Rattus norvegicus: one gene and its partners. The protein of the gene in region 3 interacts with the protein of the main gene of each other region in a pairwise test. Links are inferred from orthologs where the notes say so. Each region holds a gene or a part of one and is shown on either strand. Other genes may lie near its edges.

Region 1 (4,092 bases), on a different chromosome or scaffold from region 3:
TCAGGACCTCTGGAAGAACAGTCAATGCTCTTAACCACTGAGCCATCTCTCCAGACCCCAATAATTTCTTTTTTTCTGTGATTCACCATTGCCCACTTCAGACCCACTGGTTGACATTCCCTAATATCAGCCACAACCTATCCACACATTAAAATGGTTAAGAGCACTGGTTCTGGTGTGAGGTGTGTAGGTCAGAGGTAAAAGTGCACAGCATGAGCAAGGCTCTAGGTTTAATTTGAAGTACGAGAGCAAAAACAAAAGCAAGCTCTGAAGTCAGTCTGTCAAGTCCCAGAAGGTGTAAGACTTAGACTGTTGACCAGTGTTCTCATCTGCAAAATGTGCACAACTTTCAGGAGTTCCTTTAATTCAGTCCTCTATTCTGCTTGGTTTGCGGTTGGCACATTAATGTTACCATTGCAACCTGTTTAGTAAAGATTTGCAAAAGTACTTGGAAGCCAGTATCTCGCTGACGAATGGAGCTTTCGGAGAGAGCAGCATTTACAAACAGCAAAGGATGAAGGCAAGTTTACCCAAGGTCACGTGATCCCGACTAGCCTTGAGGGATCACTGACACCCCAGGCGGATTTTATTTCCCAGGTAAGCGGATTACCTGGCCAACAGGAAGCAGAGTCGGAACCCGGGCGGTAATGGCCGGGGATGCCAGGCTCAAGGAGCGCAGAGCACTAGCCAGCGCGCACAGGGCCATGGAATGGTCAGATTCCTCCGTACAGAACTCGCTTTTACCTTTACCCAGAGCCTGGTGCTCTTAAATGACGTTTCATTCGGGGTACCGTCGCTTTTCAATGACGTAAGAGAGGCGGGCACAGAAGTGCAGCGCCGTAAGATACAAGCTTTCTTTCCTCCCTAGAACAAGTTCTTAGCCAATCATTGGAAGGCACTGAGGTCACATGATGGAAGACAGTCCCCGCCCCTCAGAGCCGTCAAAACAATTGCCTCGAGCGGCAGCCATGATATATTTAAAGGAGCAGTACCCACGAAGGCGGCAGCGGGACCAGCAGACTGCAGGTGAGTCTTTGGGAGTACCCCTGGGGCTGAGAATTAAGATTACACTAACTCTTATTCCCACATTCTGGGACAAATGAGTAAGTCACTTCCTACTAACCACACAAAACTTCAGACTGACTCAAAAACTCCGCCCCCCGCGATTCTTCCCCGCCCCTCGGCGTCCAGACAGACAGTAGGACAACCTGCCCCGCCCCCTGTGGGAACCCCTGACTCCGTGACCTCGAGCTTGTCCGCTGTCGGGTCTTGGTCAGCGACTCTGCCCTCACTTCCACCTTCCTCTCCCCTCAGCCCTCGAAGATCTTACTTCTGTCCTTACCCTCGGCTCTCAGGGCAAGTTAGGACCCTTAGACACTCCTGATTGTAGGCCCCCAGGCTTGGATAGCCTGCGCTCAGCGCCTTTCTCTATGACCCCACTGTGCACGGCAGATCTGCTACGCTTCCCTGGACCATCCGGCACTTGAGAGGCAACTTAAGGTGCCTGTTAGGTGATTATGTCAGACAAAGCCATGAAAGGCGGCTATTGCGGTAATCCAGTCGGGAATCTGTAACCAGGTCTCCCTTTAACAGGCACACCACACCCATTGCTTCAGGTCTCAGATTAAATCGGTCTTTCTTTCCCTTATTGGGAGAAAGTAACTCCTCAGAGCTAGAACGAGGAGATTGAGGAAGAAGGGACATTAGTACGAGTCTCTGAAGAACCTGTAGGCTGAAGGAGGGAGGGTGTTTGTCCTGGGTGGGGCTCTGTGCCAGGTCCTCTGGGAGGCTGTGAGGTGGTGACAGAGAAGGGGTGGGACTGCCGGACTTCTGGACTTTGGGCAGTACAAATCCTTCTAAATCCTTAGTTGCAGGTCAGAGTTTCTTCCGGGCTCTGGCCTGGGAGCCACCTGAAACCAAGGGCTTCTGCTCTGTACACAGGTAAGGAGACTTCGGAAATGAGTTTGGAGGAAGTAGGAAGACAGTCTGAATTCTGGGGGTGGGGTGGGCTGGGAAAGTTAGTTGGAAAGGAGTTTAGCAGGTCGGGAGGTGCTGGGCTTAGTCCCTTGCTGATGCAGTCTGAAGACCTTCAACCTTCCAAGCCCTGTAATAACCACTGCTGTTTCCTCTCCCCCTCCTTCACTAAGCTTGGGTCCTTCCCCTTTATATTGGGACAGTGCTTTCTGCACAGCTCTTCCACCCGCCCTCTGTGATCCTTACAGTGCTTCACATCCCCTGCTTCCTTTTCCTAACCCATGCTCTCTCTCCAATTGCCAAGTCCTAAATTCCTCTAGCTCTAAGCCCGCCCGATTGTTCTAAAGATCTTTATTGAAGTTCATTCCTCTCCCTCACCTTACTTTTACGGTTAGTGCGGTGGAATTTCCTCCTCTTTACCTAGGCCCTTTCGTCAGCTTAGTCATGGGGGTCTCCCATCCTCTTCCCTTCGTGTGGATGCCCACCAGTCTCTAACATTGTGTCTTTCGTCGTTTCCACCTGAACTCTGTGGTTTCTCTTTAGCTGAGGATGTCAGGCCTGGTATTGGGGCAGCGGGATGAGCCTGCAGGGCACCGGCTCAGTCAAGAGGAGATCTTGGGCAGTACCAGGTTGGTGAGCCAAGGGCTGGAGTCCCTACACAGTGAGCACCAGGCTGTGCTACAGAGCCTGTCCCACACCATCGAGTGTCTGCAACAGGGAGGCCATGAGGAAGGACTGGTGCATGAGAAAGCCCGGCAGCTGCGACGGTCTATGGAGAACATTGAGCTGGGACTCAGCGAGGCCCAGGTAAGAATCAGGGGTGATACCAAGTGTTCCAGTTATCTGATGCAAGTTTGGGGTCACCTTGTCCTAGAAACTTGGATTTGTTAATTCATTAAATATTCATTAAGTGACTACTGTGTGTCTCAACTCTTGTGAATGCTGGTGGTGCATTACAGAACAACACTGAGTAATTCCTCTCTGAGCTGATATTATAGCTGGGGGGATAGCTAGAACACAGGTCCATAAGTAAATGATTTACTGTGCCAGAGTAATCATTGCTGAGGACAGAACAAAGACAAAGACAGAAGGGAAGGAGCTGGAGAGATGGCGCTGGCTGCTCTTCCAGAGGTCCTGAGTTCAATTCCCAGCAATGGTGGCTCACAACCATCTGTAATGGGACCCGATGCCCTCTTCTGGTATGTCTGAAGAGAATGTAGTCATAGACATAAAATAAATAAATCTTTAAGAAAGGAGGGAAGTAGGAAGAGGATGCATTTTCACACAGATTGGTCATAAAATAACCTCACTTTTGAGCAAAGATTTGAGGGTGAAAAAGGAAGTCATGGGATAAAGGGTTCCAAGCAGGTAGGACAGGTGCAAAGGCTTTGCGTGGAGCCTGGGGTGAATTTAGTGATTTACAGCGCTGGTGTGGCTTTCTACAGGGTACACAGTGAGTGAGGGGACACAGTAGATCACTCCGGAGGAGGAAGGATCCCATCAGAGACATCCACAGATAGTGTGGAGCCGGCAGGCTGTCCTGGGGTTTTTTGCTTGTCTGTTGAGAGAGATGGGAGCTGTTGGGACGTCTGAGGAGGGATGGGACTCAGCCTGGGAGAGAGTAGAACTAGAGACTAACAGAGACAGGGAGGCCTGGGAGAGGCTGCTATTGTCTAGGTAGGAACTGGCAGTTTGGCATCTGATGAAAACAATAGGGGTGCTGGCAGCTGGGGTTAGTTTATGTATTTAATTCCGTTCATTCATTTATGGATTTAGTTATTTATTTTATGTATATGAGTATACTGTCACTCTCTTCAGACACACCAGAAGACAGCATTGGATCCCATTACAGATGGTTGTGAGTCACCATGTGGGTGCTGGGAATTAAACTCAGGACCTCTGGAAGAGCGGTCAGTGCTCTGAGCCTCTGACCCATCGCTCCAGCCCGAGTATTTCTCTTTTTTAATTCCATTCATTTATTTTATATATACAGGTGTTTTGTCTGCATCTATGAGTATATGCTACCTGTAATCTAGTATGTGCAGAGGCCAGAAGAGGCCATTGGAGCCTCTGGAACTGGAGTTACAGGTGGCTGTGAGCCAACATGTTGGTGCTAAG
Region 2 (3,611 bases), on a different chromosome or scaffold from region 3:
AGGAAGGGTTATCTGGGATGACTGGAGATAACGCACCTTTCATGAGTGGGTTAGGAAGGGTTATCTGGGATGGCTGGAGATAACGCACCTTTCATGAGTGGGTTAGGAAGGATTGTCTGGGATGACTGGAGATAACGCACCTTTGGTAGTTTCTTCCTTTCGTTACAAAGCTTTGAACTAGAAACTGTGGACATTAAGATTTTGCTGATTTCAAGTCCAGTTTGAAGCTACAAAAACAAAGAGACGAGACTGAGCTGTAGCAAGCTTCTTCATGTAGAACGAAAGGCGAGATCTCAGCTGTTGGGGAAAAGGGACTTCCTGGGGGCAAAGCATTGCTCAGCTGCAGTGACTTGGATGGGGCCAAAGCAGGACTGCAGGAGCCCAGGAGTTCAGCCAGCCTGGGAGGCGCCGTGAGCCTCCATGTGGAAGCAAAGAAAAGAAAGAAAACAAAACTAAACAATAGAGCTCAAAACCCGGACATCGTTGAGGAAGAATAACCCCGTATGTTGGTTTGGTCATAGGTGACTCTCACACCGGAACTGAAGTACGTGAGGCGTCAGCGGTCTCACCTGAGAGGGTGGGTATGGCAAGGTCTGTTGGCAACGTAGAGAAGTCTATGGAGGCATGGGCTAAGCAAGAATTTTGTTACCACGGCAAAAACAGAGACAGTCGTAACAACCCAGAATACCAAAACAGTGCAGACTATGGCTGGGATCATGAGAGTGAAGCACACATAGATGAGGCCACGGCAGAGACAAAAGTTGCTACTGACCTCACACGCTCTATCTTGAAACAGCCTGCGCTGGTGCTCCTCCTCCTTTAGTTTTTCCTCTAGATATTTAATCTTCTCCTGCAAGAGAAGGAACGTGGATGAAAGCCAGAGCCAAATGTCCCTCATCCCCTTTCCAGTGCACACTGCATACCTTACACACGTGCACTGCATACCTTACACATGTGTACTGTATACTTTACACATGCACTGTATACCTTACACATGTGCACTGTATACCTTACAAATGCACTGCATACCTTACACACGTGCACTGCATACCTTACACATGTGTACTGTATACTTTACACATGCACTGTATACCTTACACATGTGCACTGTATACCTTACAAATGCACTGCATACCTTACACACATGCACTGTATACCTTACACATGTGCACTGTATACCTTACAAATGCACTGCATAACTTACACATGTGCACTGTATACCTTACACATGTGCACTGCATACCTTACACATGTGCACTACATACCTTACACATGTGCACTGTATACCTTACACATGTGCACTGCATACCTTACACATGTGCACTGTATACCTTACACATGTGCACTGTATACCTTACACATGTGCACTGCATACCTTACACATGTGCACTGTATACCTTACACATGTGCACTGTATACCTTACACATGTGCACTGCATACCTTACACATGTGCACTGTATACCTTACACATGTGCACTGTATATCTTACACATGTGCACTGCATACCTTACACATGTGCACTGTATACCTTACACATGTGCACTGTATACCTTAGACACTCACTGTATACCTTACACACGCACATATTACCTTGGTGTGGTTCAGAATTGGAACCATGACAGAAGTGTCAAAGGCAGAGACTTCTGTGTATGGAGCATAAGAGGGCCTACAAAGAGGGGTTTGGGGGGTGGGGTTCTGAAACAATTCTGTGCAATAAGGACTTGGGGGAGGAGGAACCCCATGTGGGAGAGGTGTGACCATATACTATCCTTTAGGTCAGACACCGGCTGAATGGAAATGTTCCATCATCATAGAAGCCAAGCCCATCCTCTGATAGCCGAGTGTGACAGAACACACTGTCTCCACGGGCAGGATTTACCCAGATTACTGAGCACTCTACAGGAACTGCCCCAATCTGTGACCGTTCCGTCACGTTCAATGCCAGCTTCGCCTCGCTCCTGGCACCGTAGCTTCAGGGACAAGCAGACGCTTACCTCCGCAGTCTGCTGGGTCGTCGTCAGCCTCAAACACTCTTTTTCTAAGACGTCCAGCTTCTCCAGTTTAGCGTGTAGCTTCATCTGATCTTGTTCTTTTTCCCTCTGAAGCTGGGCCTGGTGAAGATAAGAACCAATTCCACACTTGGCAGCGATGCCAGTGGATCACGAACAACATAACTTCTGAGAAACCAAAATATAACATAAGTCGGTTGCTAGAAGCATGTATACACACGTGTGTGTGCATATATGAGTAGAAATTCAAATCCTTTTAAGGTGCCACTGTAAGAGATGATGGACACGTTGCTGACTTAGCATTGGCAGAATAAATTCCTCTTTGTGTCTTTCTACAACAGTGGCACTAGGCAAAACATCACAGCAACACTTACAGTAAGGAGACGAGGTGTGTGTGACTCACGGGTGACCACGTCGCTCACTCCCAGGCTCCCTGACTCAACGGAAAGAGCAGCCAGGGAATAAACCATGAAGAAAGTCACCGTGCACACACATGCACACTGTCTTACAGGACTGTTTATTACCAACCACGTCATGAGGACAACCGACGAGGGCCAAGGGAGACCTGTATGTGCTCTCCTCTGAACATAAAATGGCTCTAAATAGGAAGGCCACTAAGACAAAATGCAAAGCGAGCAGCAGAAGAGCGGGGACTTCTGCCCAGTCCTGGAGCCTCAGAGAACAGAGGGAGTAAGACAGAAGCCCGCTGGAAGAAAAAAGACCAAAAATGTCCAAAAGTAATTTAAAATGGAGAGATTAACACAGACTAGGAATGGAACATTGGGAGGAGAATTCGGGGTGCTTGTGAGAAAACTCCAAGAAAACAAGAGTCTTGTGAGCTCAGTTTCTTCAAACCCTGGAATTGTTCTTGTATCATTTCCCTGCTTCTCCTGGTGCAGCGGATGGAGGGAGTCTACTCAATACGGCTGCCGCCGTTACTCAATGAGATGTAAACTGTCCATCACCGCCTGTGGAACAGGCTCCTGCCCCGTGTGGCTTATCTGTGGGATTACATACGCAGCTTGTACTCAGGAGAACTTTATCAGTGACCTTTCTTACCCTCACTATGTAATTCGTCTGAGCTCTGAACGGAGTTGGCTATGGCATGAGACGTTAGTTGGTCATTTATTGCAGTTCTCAACCTTTTTAAAAGTGCTGTAACCCTTTAGTACAGTTCTTCATATTCTGGTAAACCCCCAACCACAAAATTTTGTTGCTACTTCATTCATAACTGTAATTTTCTACTTTTATGAATCTGTGATGGTTTGCATATGCATATGCTCAAAAAAATGGCACTATTAGGAGGTGTGGCCTTGTTGGAGGAGGTGTATGACTGTCAGACTGGGCTTGGAGACCCTCCTCCTGGCTACCTGAGGATGCTCAGTCTTTCCTGGCTTCCTTTGGGTGAAGATGTAGAACTCAGCCCCTCCTGCCCCGTGCCTGCCTGGACACTGCCATGCTCCTGCCTTGATGATAATGGACTGAACCTCTGAACCTGTAAGCCAGCCCCAGTTAAATGTTGTCCTTATGAGACTTGCCTTGGTCATGGCGTCTGTTCACAGCGAGACCCTCACTGAGACAGAATCGTAGTGTGAATAGCT
Region 3 (4,321 bases):
AAGGTCTCTTCTGCACAGTGTAGAGCCTGAGCATAGGACCTCGAAGCCCGCCTACACAGTGACTCGCATCCTCCAAAATGCCGCACATACTCCAACCAGGCCACACCTCCTAATAGTGTCATTTCCCATGGAACAAGCTTATTCAAACCAGCACAGCCTCTGAGGTCTCCAGAATTCCAAATGTCACACAATTGCGAAACTCAAAGAAGTCAACCTGCTTCTTCTTTCTGGTTACTTGACTAAATGTGTGTACCGCCACCCCTGGCCTCACCCTGGTTTTTGAGGAGCTTTGGGAATTGAACCCCTGGTCTTTAGGCTTCCATAACCAGCACCAACTGAACTCTCTCTCTCTCCAGTGCCTGCATGGGTTTTAAACCTCTTCTGAAACTTCAGGATGTGACTGAAGTGGAGACTTCTAAGTGGTATCTGGAAAGCACACATTACATAGTCCTCAGGATGTTTGTGGTGACTTTGTAATAGAATGCTTGTGGTGACTTTGTAGTACTCCTCTGCCTGTGATTACAGAGACACAGAATGAGGTGTCACATCAATGATTTAACACCAGGAGAGATCCCGGCCCTGTCCAAGGAGGAGCTGCAGGTGCCTGTCACCAGAGGGGACTTGGAGTTGGCGCTGAAGAAAATCGCCAAGTCTGTCTCTTCTGCAGACCTGGAGAAGTACGGAAGGTGGATGGTTGAGTTCATATCTGAGTGATTGGTCAGCTCTTCTATTTCCGGGAGATTTGTTTATGAAATATGAAGAAATTCCTGAAACTAAAGAAATCTGGGATTTTTTTTTAATGAGAGAAATCTTCACTTAAAGGCCAAAACAAAACAAAAATGCCTAGAGGTACAGAGAAACATAGTTGAGAATAAGAGACGCCCATAGAATCTGCTGGCTTTGGGCTACCAAACCTTATACTCATGCTACAGAACAAGCAAGCTAGAGGCCCGGGATTGAAGAGCCTTCATCAGGACTACTTATAATGATTAGGGGTGTCAAGTTCCTCAGGGCAAGCTCAATCTTTGCCATCAGGAGATCTAATTTCTTCTTGTTGTTTCTTCTCTGCATAGGCATAACTACTTAATGACTGGTGATCAACAACCAACCCCACCTCTTGGAGCCATAGCATTTATATACCCTCTGAGAAGTCCCCAGAATTCCAAACATTACAGTCACAGAAACTATCTGCCTGTTGGCAAAAGTCATATCCCTGGTAGAGCATGAGGCAAATCATAGCCAACTGCTATGGACAATCTGAAGCAGCCCATATATCCCATACCTGGGATTAAAATGAAAACAATTCTTACAAGATTTCTATGTAAATTACATGTTAAAAAAACCAAAGTTCTCACTACACATACTAAAGAGAGGAAATCGACCTGAGTCATGCCTAAGTCCTGCCTAATCCCCGCATTCTGAGACAGGGAGGCAGATCTCTGAGTTCTAGGACACCCTGGTCTGCATAGTGAGTTCTAGCTTGCCAAAACTACACAGTGAAGCCGTGTCTCTAAAACAAAATAAAATGTGAATAAATCAGTCAAATTTTAAAAAAATAGAAAAGGAAATCGAAACACTTCAACATAGTCAAAAGGAGATTCATCAGAAAGTTCAATAAAATTAATAAATTTCTAGTAAAGCTGGCTAGGAAAAGAGAAGAAATGTTTCCCAAATCAGAAATGAAGGAGATCTAGCAATAGAAACTTCAAAGAGAGGGAAAGGTCAAGCAAACTTAATGAAATAGACAAGGGTGTGAGATCACAGCATATCAAAACCCACTAAGAAATCTCATCAGTCAATGAAACAGAGTTTGTGATTTAAGACCTCCCCAAAATACTCCAGACCCATCAGCTTCACATGTGAGTTCTAGCAAGTACTTGGGGAAGAAAGAAACAAATGCTAAAGACAGCTCTCCAGAAAAAGGCAAAAACTAACCATTTAAAGCCTTACTGGTCTTTAAAGTAGAACCAAAATACGTGTGGGCAACATTCAGGCTGGTAAGTAGGGAATGGAGATGGAACAGGGGGTTGGGGGTGGGAGGAGGCATTACTCCATGACATTGAACCTTAATAGCTAAAATGTAAAATTATATATATATATATATATTTATATATATATATATATATATTCAAGACACCACCAAATAACAGCAATATATCTTTCATCAGCTTTCACATTTGTCCTTTTAAATATTACTGTCCTCTGAACACACGCTAATGAATGGGTTTAATATGCCAACAGCTCTGAGGTACTTGAAAAATAAGCAGAAATACCTAGAAATTCACGGTGGGGGGGGAGGCAAAGGCCTTTTTAATGACGACTTTGTCGGGTCTGCTTTGTCGGGTCTCGCATCGACCTTGCGCCATACATACGGTTCTGCACCGAGAGGCAGCACCCTAAGAAGCCCAGGCCCCGCGCGGTGGCGATGGGGCGGGGCCGCGAGTGCGGCGGCTGCGGGGGCCGGAGCGCAGCACTGAGGCTCACCTGCGCTATCCCCGCCCGATGCACACCGCCCAATTCAGCGACTACCCCGGAACTCCCTGCAGACAAAGAGCCACTTTAACACCATTTGAGCAGCTCCCAATTAATCAGTCTGTCGCCGCGCTCCGGACCCCTGGGCTTTGTAGTTCTCGGCCCGAATCATCCAAATAAGGCGGTGAGCCTGAAGAGCCACCGAACTACAAGGCCCATGATACCCTGCGACTGGTGCTACTGTCCGCTGGACGCTCCGGCTTCTACCCGGGAGCGGCCTGGTGTTGGTGGCCGAGGGATTGCGGAGAGAGGCTCCCCTCCGGGGCTCCGCAACCCGGCTCTCCCAGTCACGCCCGGCCCCTCGGGCTCACCACTTAGATCTTGCAGGTCAGGGCTGTCAAGGAGCGGGGAGGGACGAGGCGGGGCGCCGCTAGCCGCCGCCCGGAGTCCGTTAGTTCGTGGCTGGCGCGGAGAGGCGGTGGCGCACGGTTGCCATGGCAGCTGCGGCAGCGCTGCGGAGAGGGCGTGGGGCTGAGTCAGCGCTGGGAAGCGGGGCTGTGAGGAAGGATGCGCAGGGACGAGTGTGGCGAGCTCGGAGCCCTCACCGGACACGATGAGGAAGGAACCCAAGACCCTAGGTGGGGCGTGCAGCACCTGCCGCATCCGGGCGGGACGTGTGCAGCGGCAGAGCGCTGCTTCTAAGGAGGCGACCTTTGCTGAGCCATCTCTGTAGACTGAAGGCCTCTGGCCAGCCCCCTCCTGCCATCCTCTTGGGAGTAGAGACCGAGCCATTGCATAAGATGGCGTGTGCACGCTGCCTACAGGAAGATTCCGGACTCTTTGGAACTCGTAAATGGCACTGATCCCCACCCATTGAATTCGAAGCTATAATGTGACTTAGGCACACGTTTGCACACTCTCCAGGTTCCTCAGTGTAGTGTAGGCCGGGATTAACGACCTAAATTTCTAACACAGCGCCCTGGCTAACTGGTCAGTAGCCGATGACTCGAGGCACCTTACCTAACCTGCTCTGACGTTTTAGCCTGCAAAATGGAGCTACTATATCCCTGTGTTCCTGAGAGAAACGTTTGTGATGATGAAACGGTATAGAAGTCTGGCAGCCCACACAGTAGCTTTCAGATACTAGTTAATCCAGTAGTGATAAAAGTCCAAATATTTGGCTAGCAGTTGAAGGTGGGTTGGCCGAGGTGGGCAGTTGTCCTGTACCGATTTAAAAGGTTTAGGTCAGGGAAATGTCTGTAACTGTCAGAACTCATGGAATAGAACAGTTATGGTTTGTACATTTTATTGTATATAAATTTACCTCAAAAGGGATGTAATGCCTTAGGAAAATAAATCAATAAAAAAGAAGAAGTGAATTACTGTCCTTAATATTTTCTCATAATTACCTCTTAAGAAATTAGGGCAGGCAGGGCACAGTATCTAGTGCCTTTAATCCTGGCACCCAGGAGGCAGAGGCCAGCCTGGTCTACAAATTGAGTCCAGGACAGCCAGTGCTTGTTACACAAAGAAACCCTATTTTGAAAACAAACAAAAATACAAAAGAAAGAAAAGAACTAGGTTAGGACTAAGGGTGTCACTCCTTTGTTTAAAGCCCCTGCACCACATAAACCTCTGTAACCCAGCATTCAGGAGAATGCAAGCAGGAGGATTAAGTATTCAGGACCAACCTGAGTTACATAAAGCATAAAGGTCAGCTTGGGATGTGCCAGACCCTGTAGAAGAAAAGAACAGGTAAATTATGATGGATCGGGGTAGTGACTCACACTTGTAATCTCAGAACACGGGAGGCCAACCTGGGCTATAAAGTGAGACTGTCTCGGGGTTG
Region 4 (3,611 bases), on a different chromosome or scaffold from region 3:
CTAACTATACAGACCTGTCTCAGTAACATTAAAAAAAAAAAAAAATGTTAGGCAAACAATGCTTTGAGCTCTACTAAAGTCTTCACAGTAATGTGTTATATATACTTTAAAACTGTAAGCACAAAACAACTTCAGAAAAACAGAACTGTTTATAAGGCTTTAATCCCAGAACTTGGGAGGCAAAGGCAGGCAGATTTCTGTGACTTTGAGGTCAGCCTAGCCTACATAGCAAATTCCAGGCCAGTCAGGGCTCCAGAGTAAAACTGTCTCAGCAAAAACAAAGACAAAGAGGTCAGGTAGGGAGGGGGAAATGGGATGGGGTAGAGGTCAGGGAAATGTGTGTACAATCACATAGTGATGTAGTTAATGCTCAATCTCATGTGTTTCTTTTTACATAGATGTCCAAGAAAACCTCATGAGCCAGTGACGTTAACATTTCCTTAAACCATACAATGTCTTTATTTCCCAGCAAATAACTACTCAGACAGCAAACGCCCAGCAGTAAGGTGGAAATACTTCTTACCACCAATTCTTTCTGCAATCATCAACTATCAATGACCTCTAAAAGTTTAAATATTAAAATCCCAACTAGCAATGTGCCTTTTTCCTGTAAGAGATAAGCGTATCAATATAGATCAATATTAAATTCATGTATCACTCTTAAATTACAAATATAGATTACCTTAGCTATATTACCAGTATATCCTGGAACCAAAGTAAGATGGTTTTCCTGTTCCCATAATCCATTCAACTGTTGCTTTAAAATCTTAATATTTCTGAAGGAAAAAAGAAGAAAGAAAGAAAAACAAGAAAGCCAACAGTAAGATAAAGACTTGGTTTTAATTTATTTGTATCAGTAGAAAACCATATACTAAAATCAAGCAACTTCTTAAAATGGTATATGCCATTCCAGACAGAAATTCATAGATATTTGGTTGTCAAAGTAGATGAGACAGCAAGCAGGCATTTGTACCAAGTGGACAACTTTCTTGGGTATGAAGTGGAAAATTTTGTTGAGTCTACAAAGGTTATGGAATTTAAGAGGGAATTAGGGGAGAGACTGTATTGTTTTCAACACCATCTGGCTTTTTGTTTCTTTGTTCCTTTAAAAAAAAAAATACAGAGTCTTGCTCTGCAGCCTATGCTAGCCTCAAACTTGTATTCTTCCTGACTTGGCCTTCCCAGTGCTGGGATTATAGGCGTGTTCCACCATGCCTGGCTTGAGTTCAGTTCATTTGGGAGACTCCTCACACATTTTCAAGTTTAGGCAATAGTCAAATCATGCCGATTATAACCATGTTCAGAGACCTGTCAGAATACTTCCATTCCTTACTACACCAAGGGCTTTCTTCTACCTTCCTGGTACAGTGCTTGGAGAGGTTACGCCACTGCTGTGCTGTTACCCCTCCTGAGGGAAGGGTCCAGATAGGTATGCTGTCTCACATCAGCACCGAGGATGTTGGGGCTGAAGACACACAGTGAGAGTGTCACAAAACAAAACATAAAATAAAAGGTAAGGTTCTGGCAGCAGAGATAAAAGGAGTTATAAGACTCTGCATGGTTTTTCAAAAACATAAAGTACCTATTTAATATTTCTCTAAAAATGAAGGAAATAAAATTATACAATGATGATCACAGAATAAACTCATTACTTTGTTTAATTAAGATACTTTTCCATAGAAAGTCCAGCACAAATTATCTTTAAAGTTATACTTACCCATCACTTATAATTTCTGATTTAGATGAGAGTTCTGACCACCACCTTTTTATTACTGCTTGAAGCCAGTTTAAGCCAACAATTACATATCTGAAATAAAATATTGTGACAAAATGTAAATGTTTTATAAGCCTATAACAATGACTATATTCCCAAAGTTCCCGCAGATATACGCCAATCACTCCCCTTAAAAAAATATATTTTACTGCTTTCATGATCTATTCAAAAGCCATAGAAACTACATAGCTGTTCTTAGATCCTTTCGGAAACGCCTTGGAAACAGAAATAGGGCTGGAGAAAAGGGCTCAGTGGGTAAATGAATCTGAGCCTAAAGCTGACAAACAGTAAATCTGAATTCACAAGGTGGATGGAGAACCAACTTCTAGAAGGTGCTCTCTTACCCCACTGTCACAATAAATAAAGTGTAGTGAAGGTGTTTTAATTAAAATTACCAAAACAGGTATCATGTATTTCCCAAACGTACAGGAGCTCAGTCTCCTACCATGTACTCACAAAACAGAAAAATCAAGAATGTTGAAAGAGAAAAAGGAAGCTGAGATTTAAATTAGCACTTACTCTTCAAATCTGCTTTGAAGTAAAGACTTTACTAGAGGAAATAAGTCTACACAGCAGCCAAGAGAGATACATTGCTTTTCTTCCTGTAAACTAAAAGTTATAAAATACGAACTGATTAAAATTTGTTTTTCTTTAAAGCTTTTTTTTTTTTCTGGAAAAAAAATTACTGCATTTACCTATTGGTTAGAACAGGAAGGCAATCTACCACAACTCCAAGGTCTTCTATCCTGTGAGTACAAGACAGATACCATTGCTTAGTGTCCTTAGTCATTCACATTATAATCTCCATCCTCCTCTCGAGGCATTTGATATTCAACAAATAACTTCAGCATTTATCATGAGGCAAGTACTGAGGACACAAAGGGGAAACAGAGACAGGGCTTGCTTTCCAGTGCCTGAGTGGGTGTAGGAGGCATAGAAAACGACATGGGGGATGAAGCACATCTTTTTCAAGAAGGTACTCAGTGAGGCATGGAGTAGGCATCACTCAGTAAGGTAGTACTTCAGAGGCTTAAATACGATGAGGAGGGTGATGCTTAAGATTCCCAGAGAGGATTTTTTTCAAATGGCAGGTTTCCCATTTTTAGTTTTACAGATAAGAATAGAATTGTAACCAGAAAAAGCAACAGCTTGTTTAATCTGCAAGTTTTCTGTACCCTCATTACACTTAAACTGGTGATGGATGTGATTTAAACTATAGAGTCTCTATGGACACTAAATACAATGTTTACATCTTAACCAATAAAAACTTCCTCAAAAGACACTTTTCATATCTCATTAAAAAATTACCCATGTTAAACAGAAACAAAAACATCATACTCACCTCACTAAATAAGCTACAAGTTCACTAACACTTCTCTTTCTCCAGAAAGTCAAAGCTACATTCAATCTCAAATTCCTGCTGAATAGAACTTGGGCCATTGTCTCATGGTCCTGAGAAACCTGAAAGGCAATCATCTAATCTGTTAAAAAAAAACCATGAAACATGACACAGACTTTTTTTTTAAAATAAAAATGGTCTGGTAGACACAGCCTTAAACTATGCACAGGTAACTTCTTATACTGTAATTTACAGTTGAATACAGTGAATGATGTGAGCAAATTCTACTTTTTCTCTCCTCCCTCCTTGCTAGTGTTTTTTCAAAATCCCAGTAGTTTATCCAGTAAGTTATTTCTAGGTGAACTTTATGGATATGGAGACAGAGAAAAGGGAAGCACATAGGCTAGTAATTATCAAATGAGCAGCACGAGAGAGAAAGCACAGACTGGGCTGTGGTCCTGTCACAAACATGACAAATGTGCCATCTATAATGCAATC
Region 5 (4,394 bases), on a different chromosome or scaffold from region 3:
AACGAAGTTGCTTTGCCTTTAGACACATCATATAGGATAGCAAATGGAACCTTGGGAGAGGTGGAACCTCGTGAGCTATGTAGCTCTGAACAAATTATATGCCTTTCTGAACCCTGATCTGTTATGAGGATTAAATGACTCTCACACCCAGCACTACACATGGGAGGTATGATGCTGACGATTATATTGTTCCTTCTTGAATTTAATTGTTCCAGGAAAAGGTATGTTCAATTCTACTGATGAGTGACAATTTATAATAGAAACCAGGTTAGGAGGGTCTGTAACTCAGTTTGTAGGTTGTCTGCCTGGCAAGCAGGAAGACCTTATACACCGGGTATGCATGGCACACACTTGTAATGCCGATATTTAGTGATCAGTTCAGGGTCATCCACAGAACGTTCAAGGCCAGCTTAGGCCAGAGACCTTGTCTATACACATATTTATATTAAAAGTTAAAACCACTTTTGGGGGCTGGAGAGGTGGCTCAGCGGTTAAGAGCACTGAGTGCTCTTCCAGAGGTCCTGAGTTCAATTCCCAGCAACCACATGGTGGCTCACAACCATCTGTAACGGGATCCGATGCCCTCTTCTGGTGTGTCTGAAGACAACTACAGTGTACTCATATAAACAAACAAACCACTTTTTTTTCCTGCCGAATTCACAGATAGTCTGAGGAAGCCACTCAAAAATGTGGCAAATGTTAAATGCTGTACATTTTAGTAAACTTCTTTACAGTTAGAATGGCTGGTTTGGGGGTTGGGGATTTAGCTCAGCGGTAGAGCACTTGCCTAGCAAGCGCAAGGCCCTGGGTTCAGTCCCCAGCTCTGAAAAAAAAAAAAAAAAGAATGGCTGGTTTGAAGCAATGGCGCTCTACTGAGGGGTTTACACTTTCAAGATCAGTTACCATTACATTTACTTATCCAACACACACACACACACACACACACACACACACACACACACACACACACACACGAGAGAGAGAGAGAGAGAGAGAGAGAGAGAGAGAGAGAGAGAATGAGAGACAGAGAGAGCCTTTCATAACTACGGTGTCATGATATATTAGCTGAAGATTTAGCATATATGCCGGGGAGAAATAGGAAGTAGAGGACCTTTGTACCAAATATCTGCGGAACATATATTAAACCAGAAAGACCGGAAGAAAGATCACAAAATGCCCTAGGGTGGAACCTGGATCTGCCACTGGTTGTCCAGGACCCAGAGGTCAGCCATTAAAATATGAATACAGATAGCATTACAGTGGACTGAACGGGTTATAAAGGAATATATGTATACATATATGCATGCAATAACAATTAGGGAGGAAAAGGCCACGAATTTGAAGGATAGTGGGGAACGGGCGTGTATATGTGAGGATTTGTAGAAAGGAAACAGAAAAGGGAAATGTTGCAATCAAATTACAATCTCAAAAACAAACCAAATAGCAAAACCACCCTAGATGACCTTTTAACCTTTTGGTCTGCGCTAAAGCCACGCCCTTTTGTGTGCGCGCTCCTTAGGCTCGCTTCCGTCCGGAGAGGAGGGACTTCCTGTCTGCGTTCGCTTGACTGCGGAAGTGGATACAGACAGCTCGGGTTGGTCTGAGTTTTGGGAGCTTTGCGCGTGTGCGATCGTTACTGCTTTCCTCTGGAAAGATGCCGGGACTGGCTGCCGCTAGCCCTGCCCCGCCCGAGGCTCAGGAGAAGAAGCCTCTGAAGCCCTGCTGTGCCTGCCCGGAGACCAAGAAGGCGCGTGATGCGTGGTCAGTGCGCAGCCGGGGAGGGGACTCCGGGCTTCCGCTGCTTGGCTCCGTTCTACTCTCTGGCATCTGTCTTAGTTAGGGGTCAACGAGAGGGCAAGAGGTTAGATTGACCCCAAAGTTCGGGTCCTTCATTCCTTGCTACAAATGCCTTTCAGGCTTCTTAGATGCATAAAGATGTTCCTTGATTTAAAGGCACTTAAAATGTGTGGAGACTTGTTACCAGCCAGTACTATGCCACCTGCTATGGTATAGATTTACTAAGACCCAGGTGTAAATGTTTCAGGTAATCTCTAGTAATTTTTTTTTCTTTGAAACGTGTGAATAGTAGAACACAGGGTACATTTCTGAAGGGATACCCTTTCCCAGAAGTTAGAAGTCACCTGTCAGGGACTGGAGAGATGGCTCAGTGGATAAAAGCCCTGGTTGACCTTCCAGAGAGAGGGCCTGGCTTCGATTCCCACCACTCAGGCGTTGGTTAACAGTCTTCTGTAATTCCAGTCCCAGAAGAATCCGACGCCCCCTTCTAGCTTTTTCAGGCACTGCACACACATGGTGCACAGGTGTACATGCAGGCAAAATACCTATACACATAAAATAAAAACAAATTGCAAAAAGCCAGTCTGTACAGATTAGGTGATAATAATGTTTACCTATTCTATCATCAAATCACAAAAGGTTTTGCTTGGTCTCCTGACTTTTATGTAGCCTCAATTCTGGAGCAGATACTGGGGTCCTCAGATGGTGGGGAATATGCATCTCCACCTTTTTCTCCCATCAAAGTAGAAAAATAGTCGTGGAACCAAATATAGATGCTCATGGTGTAGTCTCATTACTGGGGAGACCGAAACAAATTTAAGTCCAGCCTGAGCATCAGAGCGAGACCATGTCTCCAAAAAAAAAAAAAAAAAATAGACAAAACAAAGTATTCCTTGGTATAGGAAGGTAATAAGAGTGCACCTCAGTTATTTTATTCTCACTACTTTTCAAGCCATACCATAACTGGAGAATTTAAAGGTCGGTCTGATACCAAGGTTCCTGAAGTGGAGACTTCGGGAAGTGTGTGGCTCAAGATCCAGAGCTTAGAAATTCAGGCAGGCTCTGAATCCTGCTCCTCCAACTTGGTGACCTTATGAAGATACTTAACAAGTCTGCCTCACGTGTGTGTTGAGTGAGGCCAGCATTTCTGTAAGGTTTAGCAGTGAGTGTAAGTGGTGAGTGAAAGCTAGCTGTTATACTCAACCCACTGCCCTGCCCAGTCTGCTCCTCTGCTGGTAAGGATTTTAATAGAAGAACCCATTTCCCTCCTCTTTGAGACGGGGGTCTTGACATGTAGCCCAGGCTAGCCTCCTACTCAGGAGTCTCCTGCCTTAGCTTCCCAAACATGATTACAAGGCATGTGTCAGCACATTCTGGCTCTCGTGATTACTCTGTGGATTTTATCATTGAAGTCCCTTAACCTTCCAAAGAAGGATTCATCTTGGGGGCTCGTGGCTACCAGGTCTTTTTGGATGTTTATGTCGTTCGATGTTTAATGATTAAAAGTAGGCTTAGGTGTTCGAATGTAAGGGGAAAAGACAAAACAGGAGCTTAATTTCTGTGTGATAGTAGGCCCAAAAGTTAAACTCTTTCCTCGTCATTTTATGTAAACATTCAGTTTATTTCATTATAAAGAAATGTTTAGAGGTATGTCTGACTATAAAAGGGGCTGCTTGCCCCCTCCTCTCTCTCTCTTTTCTCTGCTCTCTTGCCTTCTTCTCCTTTGTCCCTTCTCTCCCCACTTCCCATCCCCCTTCCCTCCATGTGCTCATGGCTGGCCTTTACTTCTCCCCTTTTCTACTCTTCTTCTCTCATTAAACCTTTCCGAGTGGGGGGAAAAAATGTTTATTTTGGGTATAGACTAAAGGCATCATTCGTTCTACATAATTATTTCATGTAATTAGAACCTTCCCCAAACAACAACAAAAACAAACTTCAAAACCTCAGTTCTGTGGAACACCTTTGTGGGAACAGAACCGTCTTAAGAGCAAATACAGAGCGCAAAGATGCTGAGCTGTATGCTATAGGGGACTTTCGTTTGTAACTCCAGCCACATTCTGCACACGCACTGTCTCACTCCCATCACAGACTCCCCACGATTCTGCTTGTTGTCTACTTACTAGGTAACGAGTGCATTTTATTTTATAGCATCATTGAGAAAGGAGAAGAACACTGTGGACATCTCATCGAGGCCCACAAGGAGTGCATGAGAGCGCTGGGATTTAAGATATGACATGGTAAGTGAACTCTGTTGCTTCACGTCTGAGTGTCACCTTAGAGAGTCAACTACAAGACAGCATTCTCCTAATGGTAGCTTGCCTGGTTAATCTAGCATGTTTAAGTAGCAGCTTAAAAATAACTTTGCAGTTTCTAGCATGGGGTTGTAATGGTTTGGTGCCAACAATTTGAGGCACCCATTAGATCTGAGACGGTATGAAGCTTTTGAGAACTGGCTTGATAAGGGCCTTTAGTTACATTGTAGTCAGGGAGAAGGCATAGCCGTGGGAGGCACACTATTTTCCAAGGTGAAGGAACTAAGTGGAAAATATTCTGTTTCCTGTTTCTAATATGGGTCTGCAGTAAAACGTGTTACTTTT

The links.
Region 1: the proteins of Katnal1 (region 3) and Klc4 interact in binary tests that used the Homo sapiens proteins (3 or more experiments, as listed by UniProt). The two-hybrid records come from large-scale screens. The link is inferred for Rattus norvegicus from reciprocal best matches to the Homo sapiens genes KATNAL1 and KLC4.
Region 2: the proteins of Katnal1 (region 3) and Cep57l1 interact in binary tests that used the Homo sapiens proteins (3 or more experiments, as listed by UniProt). The two-hybrid records come from large-scale screens. The link is inferred for Rattus norvegicus from reciprocal best matches to the Homo sapiens genes KATNAL1 and CEP57L1.
Region 4: the proteins of Katnal1 (region 3) and Katnbl1 interact in binary tests that used the Homo sapiens proteins (3 or more experiments, as listed by UniProt). The two-hybrid records come from large-scale screens. The link is inferred for Rattus norvegicus from reciprocal best matches to the Homo sapiens genes KATNAL1 and KATNBL1.
Region 5: the proteins of Katnal1 (region 3) and Cox17 interact in binary tests that used the Homo sapiens proteins (3 or more experiments, as listed by UniProt). The two-hybrid records come from large-scale screens. The link is inferred for Rattus norvegicus from reciprocal best matches to the Homo sapiens genes KATNAL1 and COX17.

The regions. Positions count from the first base shown.
Region 1 is NC_086027.1:21,833,869-21,837,960, forward strand, and holds the start of Klc4 (kinesin light chain 4), read left to right. Parts: upstream 1-1,266; 5' UTR 1,267-1,500; exon of another isoform or gene 1,501-1,511; intron 1,512-1,868; 5' UTR 1,869-1,941; intron 1,942-2,517; 5' UTR 2,518-2,523; coding exon 2,524-2,781; intron 2,782-4,092. Other genes in the region: Mrpl2 (large ribosomal subunit protein uL2m precursor), read right to left, coding at 611-706.
Region 2 is NC_086038.1:46,828,240-46,831,850, forward strand, and holds part of Cep57l1 (centrosomal protein CEP57L1), read right to left. Parts: intron 2,113-3,611; coding exon 1,996-2,112; intron 851-1,995; coding exon 773-850; intron 228-772; coding exon 141-227; intron 1-140. UniProt on the Homo sapiens protein: Centrosomal protein which may be required for microtubule attachment to centrosomes.
Region 3 is NC_086030.1:11,137,741-11,142,061, reverse strand, and holds the start of Katnal1 (katanin p60 ATPase-containing subunit A-like 1), read right to left. Parts: upstream 2,910-4,321; 5' UTR 2,844-2,909; exon of another isoform or gene 2,274-2,843; intron 1-2,273. UniProt on the Homo sapiens protein: Regulates microtubule dynamics in Sertoli cells, a process that is essential for spermiogenesis and male fertility. Severs microtubules in an ATP-dependent manner, promoting rapid reorganization of cellular microtubule arrays.
Region 4 is NC_086021.1:119,672,590-119,676,200, reverse strand, and holds part of Katnbl1 (KATNB1-like protein 1), read right to left. Parts: intron 3,236-3,611; coding exon 3,117-3,235; intron 2,521-3,116; coding exon 2,470-2,520; intron 2,384-2,469; coding exon 2,294-2,383; intron 1,808-2,293; coding exon 1,718-1,807; intron 777-1,717; coding exon 683-776; coding exon of another isoform or gene 626-682; exon of another isoform or gene 1-625.
Region 5 is NC_086029.1:75,909,187-75,913,580, reverse strand, and holds the start of Cox17 (COX17 homolog, cytochrome c oxidase assembly protein), read left to right. Parts: upstream 1-1,561; 5' UTR 1,562-1,654; coding exon 1,655-1,761; intron 1,762-3,945; coding exon 3,946-4,030; 3' UTR 4,031-4,034; exon of another isoform or gene 4,035-4,394.